Linked DNA regions of Arabidopsis thaliana. The protein of the gene in region 3 interacts with the protein of the main gene of each other region in a pairwise test. Each region holds a gene or a part of one and is shown on either strand. Other genes may lie near its edges. The genes, in order: MYB62, GATA17 and AT4G16750.

Region 1 (8,059 bases), on a different chromosome or scaffold from region 3:
GTAAAATGTCTTGTTTCATGAACTAAACCAGCTGGTGTTCTTAAGTTGGTGCCTCTTCTTAAACAATAATCTTGACTTTTGACTTTCTCTAGTCTTTCATACTAACCTACGGCCTACCTAACCATACCAACGTTAATATACCAGTGCCACCCACTCTACTTCCCCATTATTTGTAGTAAGACTTTTTTTTTTTTTTTTTTTTTTTTTTTGGTTTGTAGTATTTCTTAACCAAAAAGTAATTTAAAAGACATATTTCTCCAAACTAAAGATTAGAACATTGTACGTTAATATATTTTGTGTGAACTGAAATATTTGGTCTTTTTCTCCCTGATGTTCTTTTCGGGTTCAACCGATGGAACTATCGATTTCGGTTCATAACTTTTGATATTTCTGCGTATCTCCAAATTTTTGATAAATGAGTATTGCAGTAGAAATGTTAGTTTGGCCCATCTCGACCTTAACAAGCCATACAGTTCTACGACACTTTAAATTGAACTTGCCTATTTTAAGATCAAGGTTTGGTCTCACTATCTGCCTGGTTGTATGGTCGACCAATCCGCAGATATATAAACTATTCAGACAATATAAAGATTAAGCTTGGTGATATGTAGACCAAACATGACTTCACTTTATTTGTTTCCCAAAAATTTTTTGAACATGAGAATTTCGATTACAGTGATTAAAATAAATGTGCTTGTTAAGTTGGGAAAATATGATTTTTTTTGGTTTCACTCTAATACCATATCAGTCGAGAAGGTCCGATCGATAGCCCACTTTTTATTTTGTGTGGGTAAGGGTAACTGGAGAAAACCGCAAAAATAGACACTTAACTACTTGACTAAAAACATTTTTCAAAATATATATGATTTTATGCAATTAAAATTCCACAATATATAGATCATTGTCATTGGAAATGAATTTTGAAGATGCAAATGATTTGGCCGCGTGGATTATGTTCTTACAAAATTTGAAATTTTTTTGCAACTAACATATATCCGTAATTAATGAATATTTGACCTATACAGTAATGTTTCTATTCAAATTGGGTCCACGTTACTCATGTCTTTTCTAAAAGTATTTGGCGTTTATCCACCAGTTTTAGATATTTAATCTTTAAGTTATACAATTTTATAATTCCACGTCCATAGCAGGACCATCTACGTTTCTGGATTCGATCATAAGGAATTTTTTTTTTTTTTTTTTTTGTATATTGTCTGAAATACTAAAATCTTTACATACACAATGAGTGTGATCTATCGTTCATAACCTCTCAAAAGTGCATCAATGTTTGTTCCAACTTTTAGTGGTACCCTTTGGGTTCAAATCATTGTGGAGTTTCCATGTACTTATGAAAGGCTTTTGAAGTGACCTCCAATAATTCGATCCCATTAACAAGACTTCTCCAAAGCCACCTTTCTCTATCATTTTAGTTGAAGCTCTTTTCAGATAATTATAATAAATAATTGATGGGTCCTTTGTCTCTATTATCTTCTTGAACCAACATTGATTACTGCTGGTATACAAAATGCGCATATATTAAAACTTTTGTATGGTTTGTCTAAATGCGTATATATTAAAACTTTATGTAAGAGCATTCAACTATGTAATCAATTCTTTTATTATTATTTATGATTCGTTAATTCCACAAAAAAACGATTTATGTCAATCAAGCCAAATGCCCTGTAATATTGTCAACGATCTTACAAAGAAACACATCAAATTTGGTGAAGGGACAGATGGTTGAGTCTCTATCCCCATCATTTTAATATCTTGGATAGATCGACTCTCCTAGCTTTTGGGTTATTTCACCTGTTGAGGTGAGATTAGATATGTTTTCTTCTCACTAAAATCCACACAAGTCTCAAAGATTTCAAGACAAGAGACTACCCTTTACTATTTACTCTTAAGTCTAGTCATGTATAAAATTGACCTGGTTAGTTCATAAATTGAAGTTCCATACACTGATACAAGATTTCTTGAATTTAAAGACTTATATAACAAACAAACAAGCATTATAAATAATTATCCAAACATTGACTTTGATCACCAACTAAGAGGAAAAATTTAGACTAATTTAACATGTTTCAATTCCAATCCGAAAAGAATATGATTAAAGTTTAAAACTTCATAAAATTCCATACATTGATAAAAGATTTCATGAATTCAAAGACTTGTACAAGAAACTATCATTATAAATATTTATCCAATGACTTAGTAAGTACTCGCAACAAAGAAGATACAAATTTAACATGTTCTAGTCTCCAACCCGAGATAATATGGGTAAAAGGTTCGAAACTTTTTGCTTAGTTAAGCAAAAGAAGTATATTAGTCCATATAATAGAACCGTAGTGGTAGGCTCTACCATCTCATCTCTTGACGACTTAATTACTCCCTAAACTGCCAAATGTCATCCACATTCCACATGGGATCTTGTGTAACATCCTCGTACGCTGAATAACCATCCGCCACGTGACATTCCATTGAGATGTCCGAGTTTACCATGTAATCCTCCATGCCAGGAACATATCCTCCGAATTCTTGAACATTGCCTTCATGGAAACACATCGAGCCATCGATGATATTGGTGTTGCTTTGATCCATAAAGTGTGGAACTGTTGTTAGATGAGACATGCAAGTAGAAGTTGAAGAAGAACCGTCTATGTTGCTGAAACCCGAGTAATCTATATCTTTTTGCATACTTAAAGAGTCGTGAGATTGAGAAGGAAGAAGAAGAGAGTTGTTGTTGTTGTTTTGGGGACAACAATAAGTAGTAGTAGTGGATGAGTTTTGTTCCATCTTCTCGATCAATCTAGGGACCCAAAAACTACGAACAGCGTCAAAGAACTTGTCGCTGTTAGATTCGATGTTGAGTTGACGAGCTTGTTTTTGAACTCTTGTTCTCCAATAGTTCTTGATCTCGTTATCCGTTCTTCCTGGCAAGTACTGTGCAATCTTGGACCACCTTAGATAACAAATATTCGTTTAGGAAAAAAGAAAAAAAAAACAAAAAAAGAAAATAAAAGACTCTTGAGATATGAAAGTGACTCATCACTCACCTATTACCCCATTTAGAGTGAAGCTCAAGGATCAAAAGCTGTTCTTGAGGAGTAAGATTCCCTCGTCTTATGTCGGGTTTCAAGTAATTCAACCATCTCAATCTACAACTTTTCCCAGTTCTCTTTAGCCCTGTTCTCATTTTTGTTAAAGATAGTGATTATATAGTAAAGTCAGAGAATCTAACTAATAAACCAATATCAAGTTCTTGATTAATTACCAGCACATTTGGCGACGTGATTCCAACGACCCTCACCGTTATGGAGGATGTAATTTGTGAGAAGTGTGTCTTCCTCCAAAGTCCAAGGCCCTCTTCTTAGTTCTTCATCTTCACTTTCTTTGAAGCTCTTCTTCTTCTTCATCGAATTTTCCATACTTAGTTTAAGTTTCCTAATTACTTAATGATATTTGGTTTGTGGTGTTTTCGTATCTTTTAAGCTCTATGCATGCATGACTGTATACAGAGAGAGAGAGATAGACTTTTAGGTGCTTTGAGAAGTGAAAGTGATTCAACAGGTTCTTGGGAATTTATAGACTCGTGGTCGTGGTATTGGAAAATGTTGTTACTTTAGCCATCAGCTTGCTTTTTTCCAATGAAAAATTAATTATCACACGTTTCCAAATTAAAGTAAATTGTTTTACTAAATTAGCTTCTCTTTTTAACTCATACAAAATATTGTTATTTTTTTAACATTGCCAAGGACATTTATACATTCTAAAATTGTCAAAAAACATGTTTTAACTCATTAGTATTTGTTATCACAAAATATCTCATTGACATTTTCTTAATCGCGTCTCTGTTTTCATCTTACGCATGCAATTTTTCTGAAATTATTTTTCGAGCTACCATTGTTCAAAAGCCAACACATATATGATATATGCAAACATTTTTTTTTTAAATCATCTGGTTTTTGTTTCAGTTAAATATGACTTTCTTAAAAAAAAAAGTTTTGGATTAGTCGAATCCTGCGATGAACCCTGGTCCAAGTATATAATTCATTAGAAGCATAGAATATATCGATACAGTTTCATAAACTTTTTTATGCGACGATGAAACAGAAATGGAATTTTGGTGATTTAACTCTATGGATTAGATGTTCACGTGAAAAGAATATGGAACAGAATTTTGGAAGAAGAAAGTACGATTTAGATTCTTAAATACTAAATTAACTATACAGGAAAAGTTTACAATAGTCATATTCATAATATGCTATAGAGTTCATTTTTAACTCTTACCTCTGTGATAGTGTATACTAGTCATTTTTCTTTCTTCTACTTCTAAAATTGTCTTTATCCCAACTTTGGCTAACAGTTTTTATAAAAATTTTGGTTTTCTATTTGGTAATGTTGCTGAATATTGAGATTGAACATAGTTTAACATAATTATTGGTATGGGAACAAGAAGCATACATGATACATGTGTCTTGACTCGAGACAAACAAGATATTACAAAACCTAATAAACCACTGTCCCACAAATTATTGATTAAATAAAAATTGTACCAAAACAATCCAAAAATTGGAATAAACACTCCAAATGTTTGATCAAGAGTCAAGACTTTTTGTTTAGTAGCTTTGAGCTATTGTGGTCGATGTGGCATCATCCGAATTCATATCCATATATTACATATGGTGTAATGAATGATATAAATTCTTGTAACTTTTATGTAAATGGTAAAACTAGAAGACAGCTATTTTTAACAACAATTTTCTAGAAGCCAGCTAATTTATGCGGACTTAGTATAGCATATTATCCTTTCAAACTTTGAATATTCAAAGATTCTTCTTCCTATATTAGTTTTCATTAGCTCAAATCGTATTGTATAATATTTTGTTAAACAAATAATAATTTTGGAAAAATAAGGAAGGGTCGTGTCGCTTTACACCGGCAAGTCAAAAAATGTCTATGTGCATGTATTAAAACTTATGGTATTGCTAATAACTCTCACTTACTGTTCAACCCAATCTTTTGAAGATGATAACTCCCAAAAACCAAAACAACATGTAAATAAAGCCTAAAGACCAGGAATAAAGAAAACAAAGTCGATTTGACATTTGTGTCTTCATTATCCTCTCTTATTATATAATCAACAATGACATAATTGTTACTATGTTATTAGTAACAGTCATTTTTGTTCTATAGAATTACAGTTACATTCATTTCCTTCAAATATTATCCATATAATTGGACTAACGTAAACAAATTTAAATATTTTTTGTCGTCTACAACTCACATACGCATATTTTCAAATTTAAACTCTACTTATAGCATAACAATTAACGACGACAATAATCAAATCACGAGACTACAAAAGAAGATGATTGATTGTTACCCGATTCTCGAGTTCGTCAACATCTACAAGATATATATGATTGCAAGATTCTATCGGAGGGTTACAAGTTATGCAACTAGGTTGATCTTGAGACCAAGTTGCTATATACAAGATTCTTGTTAAAGTATGATTCGAGTCCCATACATTATACAACGAAACAATAAACATCATATACTCTGGATAATCGAAAACCTAAAGATAAGTTGGGACACAAAAAGAAAGTGTGTGTTTCAAGTTTACATATCCTTTCCAAAAATATCCATCTCATTATCGTTGTTTCCTTTTTCATATATCAATACATCTAAGAAGAAGAAGAAGAAAACAGCTTTTTGCTTCATAAACAATTTGCTGACTTTGTAATAATGCATTAAGAGAGAGAGAGATGTGAAGTTCCCAACTTGATTGATGTATATGTACTTTGAAATCGAAATGACACGTCAACTTTTATTAAAAAGAACTTGTGTTTGAGACTTTATTGAAATGATTGAGAACAAACTTGAAATCAGAGTAAGTATTACAATGCAAGTCCTAGTCGATGTGATGGATCAAAATCTTTGCAAATAAAACAGAGACATGTATTGATAGTGTAAACTGAGACCACCAGGCTTGTGTAAATTACTTGCTCACAAGAAAATAAAAGCAATTCACTCTTCTGATGGCAGGCATTCATCAACCATCTCCACGAGGTTTGGATTCTCTAGTGCAGCCGCCACACGTTCTTTATCGTTTAGTTGTTTATTCACTGCATTTTAAACACCAAGAAACCAGACATCATGTTAAAGAAGTACACTCGATGTAAAGCAAAACATGCATACCAAAAAAGATGGATAGATATTGAAAAATGACATACATGCATCTTCTGTTGCATGAGAACCAGGTGCTACCCTTATATCAATCTGAAAAATGAAGATTCGTTTCAGAGGACTGAGGCACATAAAACATTGTGCGAGTGTGTTTTAAGGCAGTCCTAACTATATATAGTAGAGGCTAGGGCTATCTTCTCTTCGCAAGTATCAAGAACAGTTGATTAAGAATGAAAAATTAAAAAATTTCTCTGCCTCATATATCATCACAAGGAGAACATGTGTTGGATCTCAGTTACGTTCAAACCACTCTCGATAATGTATAAATCAGAAAATGGGCTCAGAAGATCATCTTGACAAACTTACAGGAAAAGGGAACCGGAAAATCTTAGAAATGAAATAACAAGAAAGCTTTGTACCTTGTATCGAGAAGGAAGGCTTCGTAGAAGTTTCACACGGACACAAAGACCGATAACGGTTGCCATGCTACAATGTTCGACAGTTGGAGTGAACGTAACCCTGAAAAGAAATGGTAGAGCTCAACAGATTGGCTCAAAGGAACACTAAAAATCCATAACAAAACGTTCAATCCCAACATTTTACCTAACATAACTGTTCTCATCATCCACTTCAACTGAGTCTTCTGTAACTACTCTGAGATCTTCCAGAGTATTAGGATGCTCTGGATCTTTGATATCTCTTATATGATTTGTGTATTGTTAAAGAAAACAACAGAAATAATCCAATATCATTCTGTATCAACTAAAACATAGATTCCATTTGTTCACAGATTACCAAACCGATACCACGCATAATTACAAGAAATTTAGCATTCGAGAACAAAAGATTCATAGGTAGGCTTTAAGCTAAGAAGCATGTCAAATGGTTCCAACACCTACTTCGAAAAGATATGCATATGAGAACAAAAGATTCATGACTTCTAATAGTGTAAAGAAGCAAACTTCAAGCTAAGAGGCATGTCAAGTTGTTCCAAAACCTATGCATACACTAGCTACTCTTAATTTCAGATGCTAATAGCTGTAAGACGATAATCACATCCTCACAATCACACACAATCAAACCAATTCACCAATTAAGGTTTGCAATTAGAGTAGTTCTAAGAAAACTTGATGAAGAAAGGATATCAAAAATCTCAAGTTGATCAATTGGTTCTGGTGTAAGCTCATCAGTAATGCTTGTATCAGTACGAAGACGCCTCTCTTTCTTTGGGTAAATGATAGGGTTCTCATTAATCAACCCAGATACCATTTTTCTTCTCCCTGCCAAAAATTGAGTTACAGAGACTCGTAAAGCACGAAACTTTTCAATCGGAAATTACAAAACCCTAAAAACCCTAAAATTCCCAGGGAAGAAGCAAGCAGCGAATTGAAAACTAAAGAAAGATACATACCGGAATCGAAAATCAATCAATCAGCAAAGTTTTAAGATTTAGTTCGATTAGAGAAGAAAGAGGCAAAGATTTTGCGATTTTGAGAAATTTGTAAGAAAATTTAAATTTACAGGAAAAGAAAAATCGGATATGGGCTTACGAGTACGTTAAGGATTTGAGGAGTAGGTCTGTGTAACCTCGCCGCCAATTTGGAATCCGATGAGCCAATAAGAACAACGAGGTTATAGGCTTTCTCTGGACCTGATACAAGAAACCCGAAATTGGATCAGGCCCATCGAATAATTCAAAATCTCCAGAAGAACCTCGTGCCTTCCTCTACACAATCGACACGTCATCATTCTGACTTTTCTCAAAGAAGAGAAATCAAATCACCAAGTCATCGGAGCGATCACAGAGAAGAAGAAAACCATGGCGGAAGAAGAGAAAAGCGTGATGAAGCAAGTGATGGTGGCGATTGAT
Region 2 (8,090 bases), on a different chromosome or scaffold from region 3:
CAGTGAAACACAAAGGAAACATTTATGCTCGCAGCAATAAGAGTCTTATTATGATCAAGAAGTAAAAGAAAAACAAATATGCAAACTGAACAGCTTAAATTCCAAAATGTTTAATCAGATATTCCACACATTTATCAGAAAAGCCAAGCATGAGATAGTTTCCTAAGTAAACTTAAGGTCTAATCTCAATTGCTAATAAGACTAGTTCAAACTTTTAGTTTACAAGAAATCTATATAAACAATAGAATTTTTCAACCACTCTATTGATCACAAATAGACCTGGTCAATGTGATCATATTGCTCGACTTTTAAAACTCTTGGTAATGCCTTCATAAGCAACCCAAGATCACATAATATTTAAAATTGCAACAATTCATTAAAAAAATTATGAACAATTAAACGAGAAATGAAAAAATACATTAAAAAATCTCAAGATTTCAAGTCATAAGATTCAGATGATTTTGATACCTTGTTGAGTGGGTTTAGGACAAGACCATCCATCATTAACAAGAGTGATGTTCTTCGGAAGCGGAACACTCGGCGGAGCAACTCCAAACTGAGTACCCACGAGCTCAACACGTGCTTCCATCTGAGTTACGTCGCCGGCCGTCATGATCGCCGTCTTCAAATCCGCCGATGGAAACCCGGCGAAGATTGTCCCGTTCTCAACGCTAGCCGGGAGGCTAGAACCGTCAGAGAGAACAGCGTTGGTCGCTGAAACAAGAATCTCGCGGTGGGCGAATTTAACAAAGACTTGCCACGATTTAAGCTCGTCGCGGCCGTTGTTTAGGACCGTGATCTCTGATTCGAACCGGTACGGCTGGTTCTTCGTGTCGTTTGGTTTAATCTTGGTACCGGTTAAGTAAGTGTAGGAAACGAACACGCCGTTGCAGAGATCGGCGTCTTTAGAGCGTGGTGGTGGAGTGTTGCGTTGAGACGACGTTAGTTGAATCGCCGTGAAGAGAGATGACAAAAGAATCCATAAAATGAAATTTCGAGTTAAACCCATGATTACTCTAAATCTCTTCACTCACAAAAATCTCTTTTTTAAAAAACAAATTCTGGAAATGAAAAGGTGAAAAATCGGAAGTTTAATTTTGAAGAGAGGAAGAGACCGCGTTAAAGAACAGAACAGCTTAGTAAGACGCTGTAATGAAAATTTATGTCCGCGTTGAAAATGTGTATATTTCCTTGTTTGGTCGGATTTTAATGTTTTTTCTTGATCAAGTAAACAAAGGTTACGAACAAAAGCCAAAGACAAGGTTTTGTTCTTCTGACAAAATTATAAAATAGTGGGTTTAAGTTTTCAAATTACAAGATGAACCATATATTTCTGTTAATAAAAAAATGCAACCCCAACCTATATCTTAGTAATTATGTGAATGTGTAATTTACACCTAATCGTTAGCTATAAAACATTGATACCAAACACAGTTTATAGAATGTTCGCTTAAATGACTTATATTCAAATATTTACTGATATTTCTGTCTACTAAATTTTAGTGATTTCTAAGAGTGTTTATGGAAGTTTTGAATGTATTGAGAGTGTGATTTGATAGCTAAAATATATTATGAAGATTTTGTTTGAATTTGTGAAAAATAATAAGGAAAACGTATCTCCAAAATTAAGAAATGGTGTTTATGGAAAATATCGACAAGTTATTCCTAAATTGTACTCTTTGCTTAGGAAAATAAAGGAATCAATGGAAGTAATGGTCCTAAATCGAAGAAACTGCATAATATAAGGGTGAAACACATAAATAGAAGCTTTGGTCAAAAGAAAGTCCCCCGTTGAACGAAGTTGCCCCGTTAATTTGAATCATTCTCGAGGTTCACGGCTCTACCTAGCCATGTCACACTCACACCATTCGTCCACCAGTGATCCATTTAAATGAATTATATTTTCGTCACCACTTTAGATTTTTAAAAAAAAATTATAAGTATGATTCATGACTTTGCCATATTTAACATTACTTAAAATTTTGTTGGTCCACCATTATTAATTATTAATGATGGCTTATTAAGGTTGAATCATACGCTTACATGAAAAACAAAACCAATTGCAAATCGAAAATTTACACTGTCCCTGTTACAAAGTTACCATAACAACTTTTAATCACACAAACAGATACTCTGCCAAGTGCAAATCGAAAAATTGCCATCCTTCAATAAAATGAAAAAACAAATCGAAGTATACAACCTCAGCATGATATATATATAAAAAAAACTCTAAACCATACAAAATCTGAATTTGAAACCAGTTGTGAATTCAAAAGCATATAAAAATTCAAATCAAATGAAAAACGACATCAATGGACCAAAAAACAAAAAAATGGTGGAGTTGACGGAGACAAGACAACTAGAATCACGCGCCTCACGATTCCCCCGATAAAGCCCAATATCTTGGGCCATATGGGCCCATACACAGAGAATGACATTTGAGGCACTAAAAATTAAGACCAATTCTCATTATTATGGCATTGAATGACTAAGAACCAAAAAAAAGTGTTGATATTTGAATTCATCAAGAAAATGAACACAAAACATTAGTGGAACCAAAAAACTAGGAACTTACACATTCATTACATATTATCTCTATCTAATTAAGTTAATCAAAATCGCTCTCACTTGATTATGACCTAATACAGAGAAACACTTAGGCGTAAACAGAGCTACAAGAGAGAGCCATGAGAAGCACAGCAGCTCTTTCTTCCTCACCGAGTTTTCTCCATAACCTCTTCTTCTCAACCGCTGATCTCTTCATCACCGGTACTTTAAACCCTAAATCCAAAAACTTACTCACTCCTTTGTTACTGCTACTACTACTACTACGCTTGTTATTGCAAATTTTCGGATCATCATCGATGTCGATCTTGCCATCATCAACTATGTTGATTTTGTATTTCTTGGCGTTTCGATGGTCGAGGTTTAGATCATTATTGCAATTGCTTTTTCTGTTCTTCTTCTTCTCCTCTGATCTCATACCAAGTGCTGCTTGTCTCTTCTTCCTACTCTTGATCCCACAAGCATTGCACAATGACTACATAGCAAAAGACAAACCAAAGAAATAAGAAAAATTTGAACTTCAGAGCAATATGAGATCAGATCTTTCCGGTCACTAAATTGATTCATCACCTAAATAAATTTGAAAAACGATAAAACCTAAAATAGGATCATGCATAATATAGATGCTATTTCGCGATCCATTGATTAGATCTACTAGATCGGAATCTAACAACAACCCAATAGACTATAAGAAGATTGAAATGAAAGGGTTAGTTAAAAATCTCACCTTTGGTCCGGCAGGACCACCACGCCAAAGAGGAGTTCGGATAGTTCCGCAATCAACGCAAGTCCTTTTGGTATCACCAGAACTACTACCACCGCCACTTCCGCTGCTACTGCAGTTCTCGTTATCAACATCTGATAACTCTCCGGCAGAGTCGAGTTTTGTTTTCGTATCTTCTGATCCCTCAGACATCTTTTTTTTTTTAAGAGATCGGAGCAGAGCAAGTTTTGATGATAAGGAAGAGGGAGAGAGAGAGAGACGGCGGTTAGTAGCAACAGAATTAAACAAACGGAGAGGAATTTTATAATTGAGGAGGAAGGCGGGGGCGGAAACCCTAGTATTTCGGGTTATTTGAATTGACTAAAATACCCTCGAGCGGGAGCTTTTATTAATTTTGTGCCACCCGCCCAAAAACTTATAACTAAAATCTGAAACAATGTTTTGATTTTTTGTTTTTTAAAACTAGCCGCTTTCAAATTTTGCGGCTAGGGTTTGTTATTGGTCGCTGTCCTGACAATAATCTGTTTTCACGTTTTTTTTTTTTTCAGTTTTTGGTTTTATTTTATTTCTAATGTCAAAATTTATAATAAACTAATAAAGTTTTACGTCGGTTTTATTTACAATCAATGCAACAAATGAATTTTTTAAAAACTTATGAATGATGACTGGATTATTAATAAAAAAACAAAAAAATAATGGCAAAATTCTGTAAGATAAATATCCATTGGGCTCAATTTGATAGTCCAGGCCCATGAGCATGATAACGCAGTACAGTTTTTTAGTTGAGCTACAGAAGAAGAAATTACAGTACAGATGCACCTACCCACAAAGAAAACCCGGTGGTTCGAACCGTTAAGTTGTCACCGTAGGATTAAGTATGGCATAGGATACGTGGATGACAAATCATGCGGCCTCAACCACAAAGTTTTGAGGTTTGTTCAATCTTGGTCTTACGAAGATGTTCGGTGTGAACTCTAAACATTGGAGTGAGGATGGATATTTTCAAAAAAGTGAATTTCAAAGAATCTTCAAACATAACTTCTTCCCCACTTATGTTTCAAGTTTAGTGCAAATCCAAAATTAGTTTGTATTCTCATGTCTTGTATGAATTATTAACTAAGGCATATTTGATTTTATTCCAAACAGTTTATATATGATGGAATTGAAAAGTGATCAGCCTCCGTTTAATTTTTCAATGATCATTTCTGTTAGTAATAGAGGAACTAGAGGAATTGTTAATCAGTGTGTTCTTTTAACATGAAAAAGAAGATAGTTTCTCTTTGACATATTCATGCAGTAATTCATCATATCACAACAGAAAGATGATTTGAGACCTGACCACCAATGACCAAACATATTTATCATCAAGACAAAGAGTGAGATTATGAGTTTCCTTCGTATGCATCAGAGCATTTTTTTGGGTGAGTTCTGGAGCTTCACTCTGCAACATATGTAAGACTTCACCAATAAGATGAGATAATTTCAATATTTGAAATTCTTTGTGTATCAATGTAACTCGTACTTGAGCATTGATATGACCCTTTGCCAAGCAGATTATTAAGGAAGAAAGAAATTAACCTCGCAGTTGTAGGACTAAATTAACCTCAAAGTTCTACAAAGACAAGGTTTTCTTCCTTGGATGCCAAGTTAGGACCACAAAGCTCCTCAAACAACCACATTGCAGAAACCATCAGCAAAAAACAAGACCGATTATAAAGTTAAAAGATTGGGCTTAATTCCATAGACAAGCCCTTTACCATAATATAGGAAATTAGTACAAAATACAACAAAATTGGAAAATTGGAACTGGAAAGAGCTTTTGAAGGTCGCCGCATAAAAAAGTAACGTAACTTATTTGACTATATAACTCTAAATTAAAAAACCCTATTTTCTATGAAGTCAAAAAAAAAAAACCTATTTTCTACATCATCGAAACCTTGCTGAGACAATGACGAAGATATCCAATATTCCAATGGATTTGTTGGAGGAGATAAAGACGTAAAGACCTAATAAAGACTTGTTTTTTGGGTTCTATAAAATATAACCTTTGTTATTTAGTGTTCGAGGTAAACAAGACTAAAGTCCTTCAATGCTCATGTAAAATAGAATCTGGCCAAAGAATTATTGTTTCCTTAATTTTTACACTATAGTGGTTTAATTATACTAATTAGCCCATTAGGGAGTAAAAAGAATTATTGTTTCCTTTTCTTTTTTCACGGAAATAACTTTTGAAAGTTGGCATATAAAGTTGTTACCTAACTTATTTCTTGTCGATTAAAAAGATTAGGAAAGCGTGAGAGTAAAACCCTAAATTTCTATTACATTGATCATCCTTGAGTGCTGAAACAATGACAAAGATGTCCAAACTTCCGAATGATTTGTTGGAGGAGATACTCTCTAGAAGTCCACTGTATTCTATGAGAGCAATACGATTGACTTGCAAAAAGTGGAACACTTTAGCCAAAGAAGAAAGCTTTACAAAGAAGCAACTCGTTCAAACAAAAGCTGCCAAGGAATTTATGGTGATCATGATGATGGATTCTAAGTTTTGTTTAATGAACATCAATCTCAACAAGGAAGAAGACGTTGAACCATCTATAAAGTGTAATGGTAAAATTATTAACCCAATCGGTATGTGTCGAGTCTATCATTGCGGTGGTTTGGTATGCATCACAAAAAGCTTCAGTAACACTAGAGATGTGGTTTGGAATCCGTATTTGGGGCAAACTCGGTGGATCAAACCTAGAAGCCATCACGCATATATATATGCTATTGGATACGAGACGAAAAAATCGTGCCGCAGCTACAAAATTTTGAGTTCTGAACACAATTATATAAATATTGATGATGAACGTGTTGACTACGAAATCTATGAGTTAGACTCTAATTCATGGAGGGCTCTTGATGTCAATTCCAATTGGGCGACAGCCTTTTATAAAATGGATGTCTCTGTGAAAGGAAATTCTTATACGTATACTGATTATAGGGGTGACTTCTTGATTTCTTTTGATTTTACAACAGAGAGATTTGGACCGACTCTGCCTCTGCCGTTCCACTCTCGTTGTGGAGATATTGTGGCTCTCTCTAGTGTTAGAGAAGAGAAACTTGCAGTGTTACTTCACCGCTGCAATATATCAAGGATGGAGATATGGATTACTAACAAGATTGAGCCCAACAATGTGTCGTGGGGAAAGTTGTTCTTAACAGTGGACATGAAACCACTCATTATTGATGATGGAATTTTCTTCATTGACGAGGAGAAGAAAGTAGTTGTGGTTTTTGATAAGGACAAAGAGATGAGAAACCGTATCACAGCTTACATCATTGGAGAGAATGGATACTTCAGAAAAGTGGATCTCGGAGATTCTGAAAGTTTTCCTGTTAGGTGCTCTTATGTACCAAGTTCAGTGGAAATCAAGCAACTGGCAAAAGGCAAAAGCAACTAGTCCATTTACAATACCCAAATATTTGGTTCTTGCATTGTTTAATTACTACTACTCTTGCTTTGTCTTCTTTTCTCAGCTTCCTGATTCCTGAACAATATTGGTCTATTCTTAGTTCGTTTCTCATCTCTTACGTTGAAAAAAAGATTGTTAAGCATACTAGTTTGAGATCGAAACAACAAAATCATTCAATACTCATGTCCAATATAATCTGGCAAAACTGTTGTTTCCTAAACTGTTACACGGTAAGGGTATAAATTAGGGCCAAGGCTATCTAGTGCTAAACATACAAAATCTTTTGCCTTTTGACTGTCAAGTACCAACCAACTGCCATTACTATTGCCGCCACTTTCTCGGACTCAGAAATATATAAAAGCTTTGATCAATCAAAAGAACAAAACTTAATACTCTGTTCTGCATTTTGCACTCATGTTCTGTTTCTCTTCCGTCTGCATCAAAGAGGCAACCCGTGGCAAAGATCGGGTTCTTTCTCAGACATTTCCAAATGAAACGAACCCACTTTTCCGGTTTCTAAGCCTTCATAGGATATTCACACTCTCGAGGATTCAATTTCTATGAGGCTGACACGGTTTCTCTCGAGAGTCCACTTTTTCTTAGGTCAAGTTCTTCAACAAGACGCTTAGTATATGAATCTGGAACACATCCATGTCTTTCGATTGAACTGAACATCTCTCTTGCTTCACTCTCTCTTCCAGATTCACTTAGAGCTTTGATGAGAGTGCTATATGTAAAGTTATCTGGTTTCAAACCAATTCTCAGCATTGTTTTAAGCAATTCCTCAGCCTTCTTAACCTTTCTCATCTTGCAAAAACTCTGAATAGTCGCATTGTACGCATAAAGGTCTGGACTTAACCCGTTTTCCTTCATCTTCGCAAACAGCTTCACTGATCTATCGGTATCTCCGGTGGAACAACAGGAGCGAATCAAGATATTGTATGTGATCTCGTTTGGCTCAATACCCCATTCCAACATCTCCTTGAAACAGTCAAATGCATCTTTAATTTCTTTTGCTCTGCAAAGACAGTTTATGATCAAACTGAAAGTGATCACGTCTGGTTTGAAACCATGTACAAGAAGCTTCTCTAGCACGCCGTGAACCTTCTTTACATCACCCCTCACGCTATAACCGCTCAGAAAGGTATTGAAAGTTACGAGATTCGGAGAAATACCTCTATCCTGCATCTCTGTTAAGAACATAGCTGCATTCTCTATGCGTCGAGCCTTGCAGAGACAGTCAATTACCGCATTATAACTATATACACTTGATAGAAGCCCGTCAACACCCATTTGTTTCAGATACCGGTCACCTTCAGAGAACCTCTGAGCATTCAACAGAG
Region 3 (7,897 bases):
AATCCAGAACAATTGGTTGCCATGTCAGCTCATAAGCCAAAGGACCAAACTCTCACAAATTCTTCCTGTCTGCAGGATTCCAAGAGCTCTTGGCTGATTTGGTTGAGGCCGCTATTGCTCATTGCCAATTGATTGTTGTTTCCAAGTAATCTTCTTCTTCACCGTTTACACGTATCAAACAAGTTAATGATTCTCCCTCTCAATGTCAGTTCCTGAATTTTGTGATCTTTGTCTTGGTTAGGTTCATAGCGAAACTGGAGCAAGACATAGGTGGCAAAGGAGTGAAGAAACAGCTGAATAATCTGTGTTACATTTATGCTCTTTATCTCCTCCACAAACATCTCGGCGATTTCCTCTCCACTAACTGCATCACTCCCAAACAAGCCTCTCTTGCTAACGACCAGCTCCGTTCCTTATACACTCAGGTTCTTTCTTCCTCTCTCTCTCCATCTCTGCATTTGATTCCTTTTTAAGCTAAGTTTTAACACGTTTTTGTTGCTTCTTTTAGGTCCGGCCTAATGCGGTTGCACTTGTGGACGCCTTCAATTACACCGACCATTACTTGAACTCGGTTCTTGGCCGTTACGACGGTAATGTGTACCCAAAGCTCTTTGAGGAAGCGTTGAAGGATCCATTGAACGACTCGGTGGTTCCTGATGGGTACCAAGAATACCTTCGACCTGTGCTTCAGCAGCAACTTCGTACCGCTAGGCTCTGAAGAGTTTTCTTTGCTTGATACTCGATATGGTTAATCACATTAGACTTGCTTCGTCCTTCTTCTTCGTCTTCTTCTTCTTCTCGCTTTGAATAATTTCGCAGTTTAAAAACTGGCGATGCCCTTATTTATATGTAGCAATGTAATAGTTAATGTACGATCGTCATATGGCGGAATTTTAGTACTATTTTTCGTTTTCAATGCAACATTAATACAATTGATCGTTTCTACTCTGAGAAGGATATGTGGGATATTTGTAATCTTCGTATATAGTCCAATCACATATATTGACATTTCTCTATTGCTTTCGTTAAGATTGTATTATGTAATATATAGGGTTAGGGTTACTTAGGCAAAGTTATTTCAGAAATTATGCAACTTCCATTGTAGAAATTTTTTTTACTCATACGCTGATATTTTAAATAACTGTTCACTCCGTTTTAATTTAGTTGTTGTTTTATCACTTAAGTTTTGTTTTATAATTATTGTTTTGGATTTTCAATGCAGATATTTTGGTAAAAATTTTAGTTTTATCTTCAAACTTTTAATGTCTTAACTAATTAAAAAGTTAGAGAATATATTGAGCATAAAGTAAAAAATTAATTGTTTTCTTAATTTTTGTGCAAAACTTTAAACGACATGTAATTTAAAACAGAAGAAGTATAATTTTTAAAAATGTAATTAAGCTGTAAGAAACAGTGGTTTGTAAACAAAAGAAACCTGTTTTTCATATATCCTTCCATTAAATTTTCACCAAAAACAAAGTTTGGGAGTTAACCCACGATTTCAATGTAATGCGTCGTAGGAAGAAGAAAAATTTGTTTGCAACATCAATATGAAAGAGAAGTTTGCTTAAAATGAAACATGCATATGGAGTTTTCAGGATTGTGCTTTGTTTCAATTAGCATCATTTTCCGACAGAAGACTTCCAGACCTTTATATTAATTAAGCATTTAATAACCGAATTTGGTAGGTAAATTAAAATAGAGCAAACTAATGTTTTGGTTGTAATCACCTTTATCAACCAACTGTTTTAAAAAAACTAAAAAAGAGTTTCAAAAGTGGCATTTATCTTTCATTTTCTAATGGTTAGTAGTTAAAGTGTTTAGGGAATTAAGACATCGACCCGAATTAAATTTTACTTTTTCTAATATATTTTCTTCACCAAGCTAGCTAGCTAATCTGACTTTCTACTTATTTATTCCCTTATTTAAACTTACGTACAGTTTTAACTTTTAAGAGTGTGTCTGTATATAAATCCATTAATCTATATATTATGATATTTATCTTAAATAAATATTATTGGTCGAGATATTTTTATGAAATCTGAACAGAAAACACTCCAAACAATTTACAGTACTTGCCAAAAAAAAATTACAGTAAAAAAATTCTTGATTTCATAAAAAAATCACTCAATTTGTTTACTACTGAATAATCAACATATCTCTATAGTCTTTTCACTTTTATGTAAAACGTTTATTTTTATTTTTATCTTAGTCTTAATCGTCAAATGGACCCCACGATAAAACTAATACGTAACTTGCTCCCTCTATATGATAATGTATACATTTTCAACATCATACTTTGTACATATACTGATATACACTACATGTGTTTACGTCGTTTTGCGTACGTGTGTCGTCCACAGCAATCTTCACTCAAATTCTTTACTAAAAATGCTTAATCTTTAAATTCTATAATATATCAAAAAAACTTCTACAATTATTTAGGAACGTATATCCGCAAATGTGCATAACCTAATCCGTCTATTAAGCAAACGTCCAAGTAAAAAACATTGACTGACAGTTGTTAAATAATATATTTTAAAAAAAAATTATCGTTACTAATAAATGGCTAGTGGGTTCATTCCAATTCTTTCACTTTTATTAATAAGTCTATGTTATTTTATGTCAATATTTAACATTTTCGCATCAAAATGGAGTATATAGGACATACTTTAACGGTTTAACCCCTGCTAAAATGACAAGAATTCAGATATTCAATAACGTGATACAATATATAAAAATATATAGATTATATATATAAACGTAAATACTACTATTATTACCTGAGGCATTTTTTAATGAGTTAACTCTTAAGACGAATTTTATTTTATTGCTAAATTAGTTTTATTTGTCGAAATGTGAATTAAATTAATTAATAAAAAAAGATATTTACAAAAGTGTTTGGTCAAGAAAAGAAACAGAGCAATAATATCAGAACCAAAACCAGAGAAACTTATGAAACAGAGCACACAAAGCTAACGAACTAGGAGTTGCGTCTCGACTGAAACCATAGCTGAAGTAGTCCCTGGAGGCTGGAGCTTCCGATTTTCGAAATAGTGTAGAGGCGTATACTGCTAAATTAATAATGAGATTTAAGATGTATTAATATTAACCTTGTCTTTGTCAAACTTAATCCGAGTGAAAAACGTGGGTTAGCTTTGTAGGCAGACATGGGTCATGGTCGGGCAAACGAAAATATGACATTTTTGGGAAAAAAACAAAAGACGGAAATTAGAAAAATTGTAAAGTAAACTAAAAGTAAATTCGGGCCCACAAGTTACAATTGAATCTAATTTTTTCTAAAATCTACTGTACTGTGAAAATGTCTACACAAACAGAAAAAAACAAATGATCTCAAGTTATATCCACATGTAGTAACTGGTGGATCTACTCGAAAATAGATATTTCAAACTTCAATGAAACGATGGCCAAAGCATATGTCAGAACTTTAAAAGAAATATTATATTATAATTTTAGATAAAATTCTGTTTTTTTCTAACCAATATATTTGTCTAAAAATTGGTTCAAAACCAAACAGAACAAATTAATTTAAATATCGATTTCGGGCTGTTTCAAGTACGTATTTTTTTAATTTGGAAGAACTTGGACGATTTAGGAGAAACGAGTGATAACAGTACACTAGAATGTTTACAAACGAACAAGTGTCCAATTCAGGTATAAAATAATGAATATTATAAAGTAAAGTAAATATCATTGCAAGCAAAAACAAAAAGAAAAAAGAAAAAAATCTTAATGTAGTCAAGTCTCTCTTTAGCTTTTAATATTTGATTTATACATAAAAGAAAAAACATACACACAAGAATAATTGCTTCGTATTTGGATGTATATATTAGAAAGAAGCAAACCAATCTCTTCTCCTCAAAACTATTCCTACTCTCACACTCCAAAATACCAAAAACAAAACATTTTTTTTAATCTTCCCACCAATTTTTTTCTCTTTCTCTCGTTACATTAAATTATCTTTAGATGCAAGACTCTTCCTCTCACGAATCGCAACGTAACCTCCGGTCACCGGTGCCGGAGAAAACCGGAAAGAGTTCTAAGACTAAAAATGAGCAAAAAGGTGTTTCTAAACAACCAAATTTTCGTGGGGTCAGAATGAGACAATGGGGAAAATGGGTGTCTGAAATTAGAGAACCAAGAAAGAAATCAAGAATATGGCTCGGTACTTTCTCTACGCCGGAGATGGCGGCGCGTGCACACGACGTGGCGGCTTTAGCCATCAAAGGTGGCTCTGCCCACCTTAATTTCCCGGAGCTAGCTTACCATTTGCCGAGACCGGCTAGCGCGGACCCTAAAGACATTCAAGAAGCCGCCGCCGCAGCAGCTGCCGTTGACTGGAAAGCACCGGAGTCTCCGTCTAGCACCGTGACGTCATCTCCAGTCGCCGACGACGCTTTCTCCGATCTTCCTGATCTTTTGCTTGACGTGAATGATCACAACAAAAACGATGGATTCTGGGACTCGTTTCCGTACGAAGATCCTTTCTTCTTGGAAAATTACTAGAAGGCAAATTCTTGCCGGCGAACGGATTTTCCGGTGGTTTCCCGGTAAATAAGAAGACGATGTCGTTTTGTACCTTTTTTGTCTACGATGGGAAATTTCTTTTTTTTTTACGTGTGAGTAAAAGTTTCCGAATGTGTGATGTGTAAGTAAGTACAGGTTATTTAATTTCTTTTTTTTGTACAAATACGTACGTCATTACCAAAAAGTTTTCATTTATTGTGCTTTTATCTTCCAAATTCATTAAGTGTGTGTCTTGACCCTTTATTTTCACATCTTTGAGTTCTGACAAAGACTCTAACTTTACTCCCATAGAGCCGGCAAAGAATATATACATTTAGGGTTTCTTCGAAATCTTTTTTTTTTTTGTAAACATCTTCGACATGTAAATGTAAAGATCAGTATTTTCATGGTTAACATAGATGACTTATGACTTGTATAGTTATTCGTTATGTAACCCATCTCAAAATCAGGACATTTACTTCTCATTATTTGCAGATAAGAAAAATATAGCATGGAGTATATTTTTTTTTATTTCTTGACTGTATGGTCTATTACATCTTTTATTGTGACATTTATAATGATAGTCGATATAAGGATTTTTAATATCTTTATAATAAATTAGAAACCGAACTATATATCCTCCCTTAGTATATGCTCATGAACATTAAGCTCGGCCGCATTTTACCATTTGAAAAGCATATATTAAAATGGAATTCGTTAAAACAAATTGTTTGTATATTGAGAAATCTAGCAGCCAAAGTCACAGTACGGTACGTAGAATACAAAGAGAAAATGGCAAATTAGTACAAGAGACAAACTTGATGGTCTTTTCTGTCATTCTCTATTTTCCACTTTTATTTTCTCCCTTTTTCGTATCATCTTATTGGCCCTTATAAAGTTGAAAATTAAAGGACCTATTGGCCCATTTATCAATTAAATGTATGGTGTATTTAATGTATGTATAGTTAGTACTGATTTTCATTCTTCTGTGCAATTAGTGTCCTTACTTTTTCTCTAATCATTCTTATTATATTGCTTTTAGCAAATTTAATCTAGATAGAGGGTTTTTATAATTCTTTGAAATCAGTTCCCTGAATATTATATTCTCTCTGTCTTATACTTTTCTTTTAAGGTTCACATCAAACTTTTCGTTATTAGTTCAACAAAATTGAATGTTGATTATTAATTTGTACATATTCATCTCGTATATTTATTTATATCTGCTATATATTAGACGTAGCATAACTGTCCAAACTATGGAATGAATTATGAAACATTTTAGATCATCTTTTGATGAGTATGCGTGTTTATGCATAATCCCTTTTTTTTTACACACCCAGCGTAGATTTCTGATCGAAACCCAAACTAAAAAATATAGAAAACTAAAACTTCTTATTATTTAAGCAGATGCATAATTGCTTTAATCATGTGCATTGTCTTACCAAAAAAAAACACAAAACAAATGTGCATTGTTTTCTCTACTAAAGAAATATATTGCATGTTGACTTAAAAACTCATAGATATTCTTTTATGTTTATAATACTATTAAAAACATACTGTATTATTGTGTAAGAGATTTTATTTTATTTTTTGGTTAAAAGCGGATACAGTCATATAGTTACTAAAATAGACGAATGTTTGTGAAAAAAACTTTGTTTACGACTTTACGAGCATTTGTATTTGTCATGACCATTTTTTATGAAAAAATGTTTGCCAACGAGAGAGAGATACCATCACATAGTCATATATGCAAACTTTAAAAATGTCTAGTTAATTATACGGAGTGTTGTTATCACATACGAACACCTTCAAACAAACATAAGTCATATTTACACAAAGGACAATAATTTATGTAGCTAGCGAGATATTTTTAAAGTTTAGATATCTTTTTTTTATACTTTTCAAATATTGTCTTTATTGGTAACTTTTACAAAGATTCAACTTTTACCGTGATGGTTGAAGATTTTTAGTTAATCAAATTCGTCCTTTTAGTGTATAGGAACAATTATAAAGTTAAGCAAATTTATCTCTAGAAGACATTTTTGAAAACCTTAAAGACATAAAAAAAATTTTTTTAGTAAAATGTGAAGTTAAATGCTACATAATTGTTTAAAGCGAATTTCAAAATATATTGCGTGGTTGAATTTATTCATTATAGAAAACATCAGTTGAATTTATTCATTTTAGAAAACATTAGTTGTTTCAAATTGCTTTTAAAGTATTGTTAAATAGACCGTTGGAGAGCAGAAATGTAGATATTTTTTAGTAATGTGTTCTTGATAAGATAACGGTTATTTGTTTTGTTAACTAACTGATATATAAAACTTAATTCAAACATTTCATTCAAATCAAAAAGATGACTAAGACACTTTGTGTCGCAAATTCGAACACGCCTACTATGGGTTTTGTACGGACGCTTGATGTAGATCATGTTGTGTAATGAGCAGCAAATATCGAAGCACCATCCTTCCTTCGTAACAATATTTGAAAAATACTCCTGTATTAAAGATGATTAATTTTATTTAAAATATCGTAAAATTCGTGTAAAATATCCTTTATGTGGGAGAGTGTGAACCACGTATTGCATAGACCAAACAAAAAAATCATTGTTAAATAATAGCAACAGTTATGAATATGATTGAGCGTTGATGCTGCATGCCTGCATTCCATATGTAATTTATCTATGGATGTCATGTCAGTAACGATTTTCAATTTATTTATTTAATTGATTTGATTATACAAAGTGTCATCATTAATATATTGCGTCTAGAAACTAATCTCATATTCATGTCGGCTGTGGATTTTTAAGTTCGACCTAAGTGGCTACTTACGAATTAAAAATTAATTAAATATTTACTTTTCTCTATTAATAGTTGATGTTTATAAAAATATTTTTGAGAGCTCATAACTATCTTTTGGAGTAGGAAGAATATGTTTGCAGGATGGACTCATTCTAGTGGATTCCTTTCTAAAATTATAGGCCTAACCTATGATATGTCATGTATTCGATCATAGAGGATTTCGATTGCTGTCGAACATTTGAGATGGACTGCTTAGAACTGCTATCGATGGCTCAATGTCCGTCGGATTGGACAGCAATTTTCAATACTTGGGATAATTTTTCTTGGTTAAGCAATTGGTTTAATTGCTCTGTTTTCCCTATTTACGTATATTAAATTCTCAAACAGACCGTTTAATCCTTAATTTCAAAGATATGATTGTGTTTAAGCCTTACGTAAACTATTTTCTTACCGATGTATACAAATAAACCAAATAGTTAAAATACGGTTGAAAAAAATATTTGTTGTCTTTCGTAAAGGTTAGACTATCGAATGAATTATGTTTCACCACATGTGTAAAAAAAACACTA

What was found.
Region 1: the proteins of AT4G16750 (region 3) and MYB62 interact in a two-hybrid assay, tested with the Arabidopsis thaliana proteins (one large-scale study listed by BioGRID).
Region 2: the proteins of AT4G16750 (region 3) and GATA17 interact in a two-hybrid assay, tested with the Arabidopsis thaliana proteins (one large-scale study listed by BioGRID).

What each region holds. Positions count from the first base shown.
Region 1 is NC_003070.9:25,599,211-25,607,269, reverse strand, and holds MYB62 (myb domain protein 62), read right to left. Parts: upstream 3,595-8,059; 5' UTR 3,429-3,594; coding exon 3,275-3,428; intron 3,187-3,274; coding exon 3,057-3,186; intron 2,963-3,056; coding exon 2,386-2,962; 3' UTR 2,089-2,385; downstream 1-2,088. Other genes in the region: AE7 (MIP18 family protein (DUF59)), read right to left, coding at 6,031-6,128, 6,237-6,282, 6,609-6,708, 6,793-6,886, 7,317-7,458; AT1G68300 (Adenine nucleotide alpha hydrolases-like superfamily protein), read left to right, coding at 8,009-8,059. UniProt on the Arabidopsis thaliana protein: Transcription repressor of phosphate (Pi) starvation-induced genes. Negatively regulates Pi starvation responses via the repression of gibberellic acid (GA) biosynthesis and signaling.
Region 2 is NC_003074.8:5,761,096-5,769,185, forward strand, and holds GATA17 (GATA transcription factor 17), read right to left. Parts: upstream 3,666-8,090; 5' UTR 3,482-3,665; coding exon 3,293-3,481; intron 3,041-3,292; coding exon 2,657-3,040; 3' UTR 2,402-2,656; downstream 1-2,401. Other genes in the region: COBL8 (COBRA-like protein 8 precursor), read right to left, coding at 469-1,009; AT3G16880 (F-box and associated interaction domains-containing protein), read left to right, coding at 5,638-6,735; PPR40 (pentatricopeptide (PPR) domain protein 40), read right to left, coding at 7,306-8,090. UniProt on the Arabidopsis thaliana protein: Transcriptional regulator that specifically binds 5'-GATA-3' or 5'-GAT-3' motifs within gene promoters.
Region 3 is NC_003075.7:9,417,751-9,425,647, reverse strand, and holds AT4G16750 (Integrase-type DNA-binding superfamily protein), read left to right. Parts: upstream 1-3,790; 5' UTR 3,791-3,987; coding exon 3,988-4,527; 3' UTR 4,528-4,997; downstream 4,998-7,897. Other genes in the region: ACX1 (acyl-CoA oxidase 1), read left to right, coding at 76-145, 242-425, 509-718.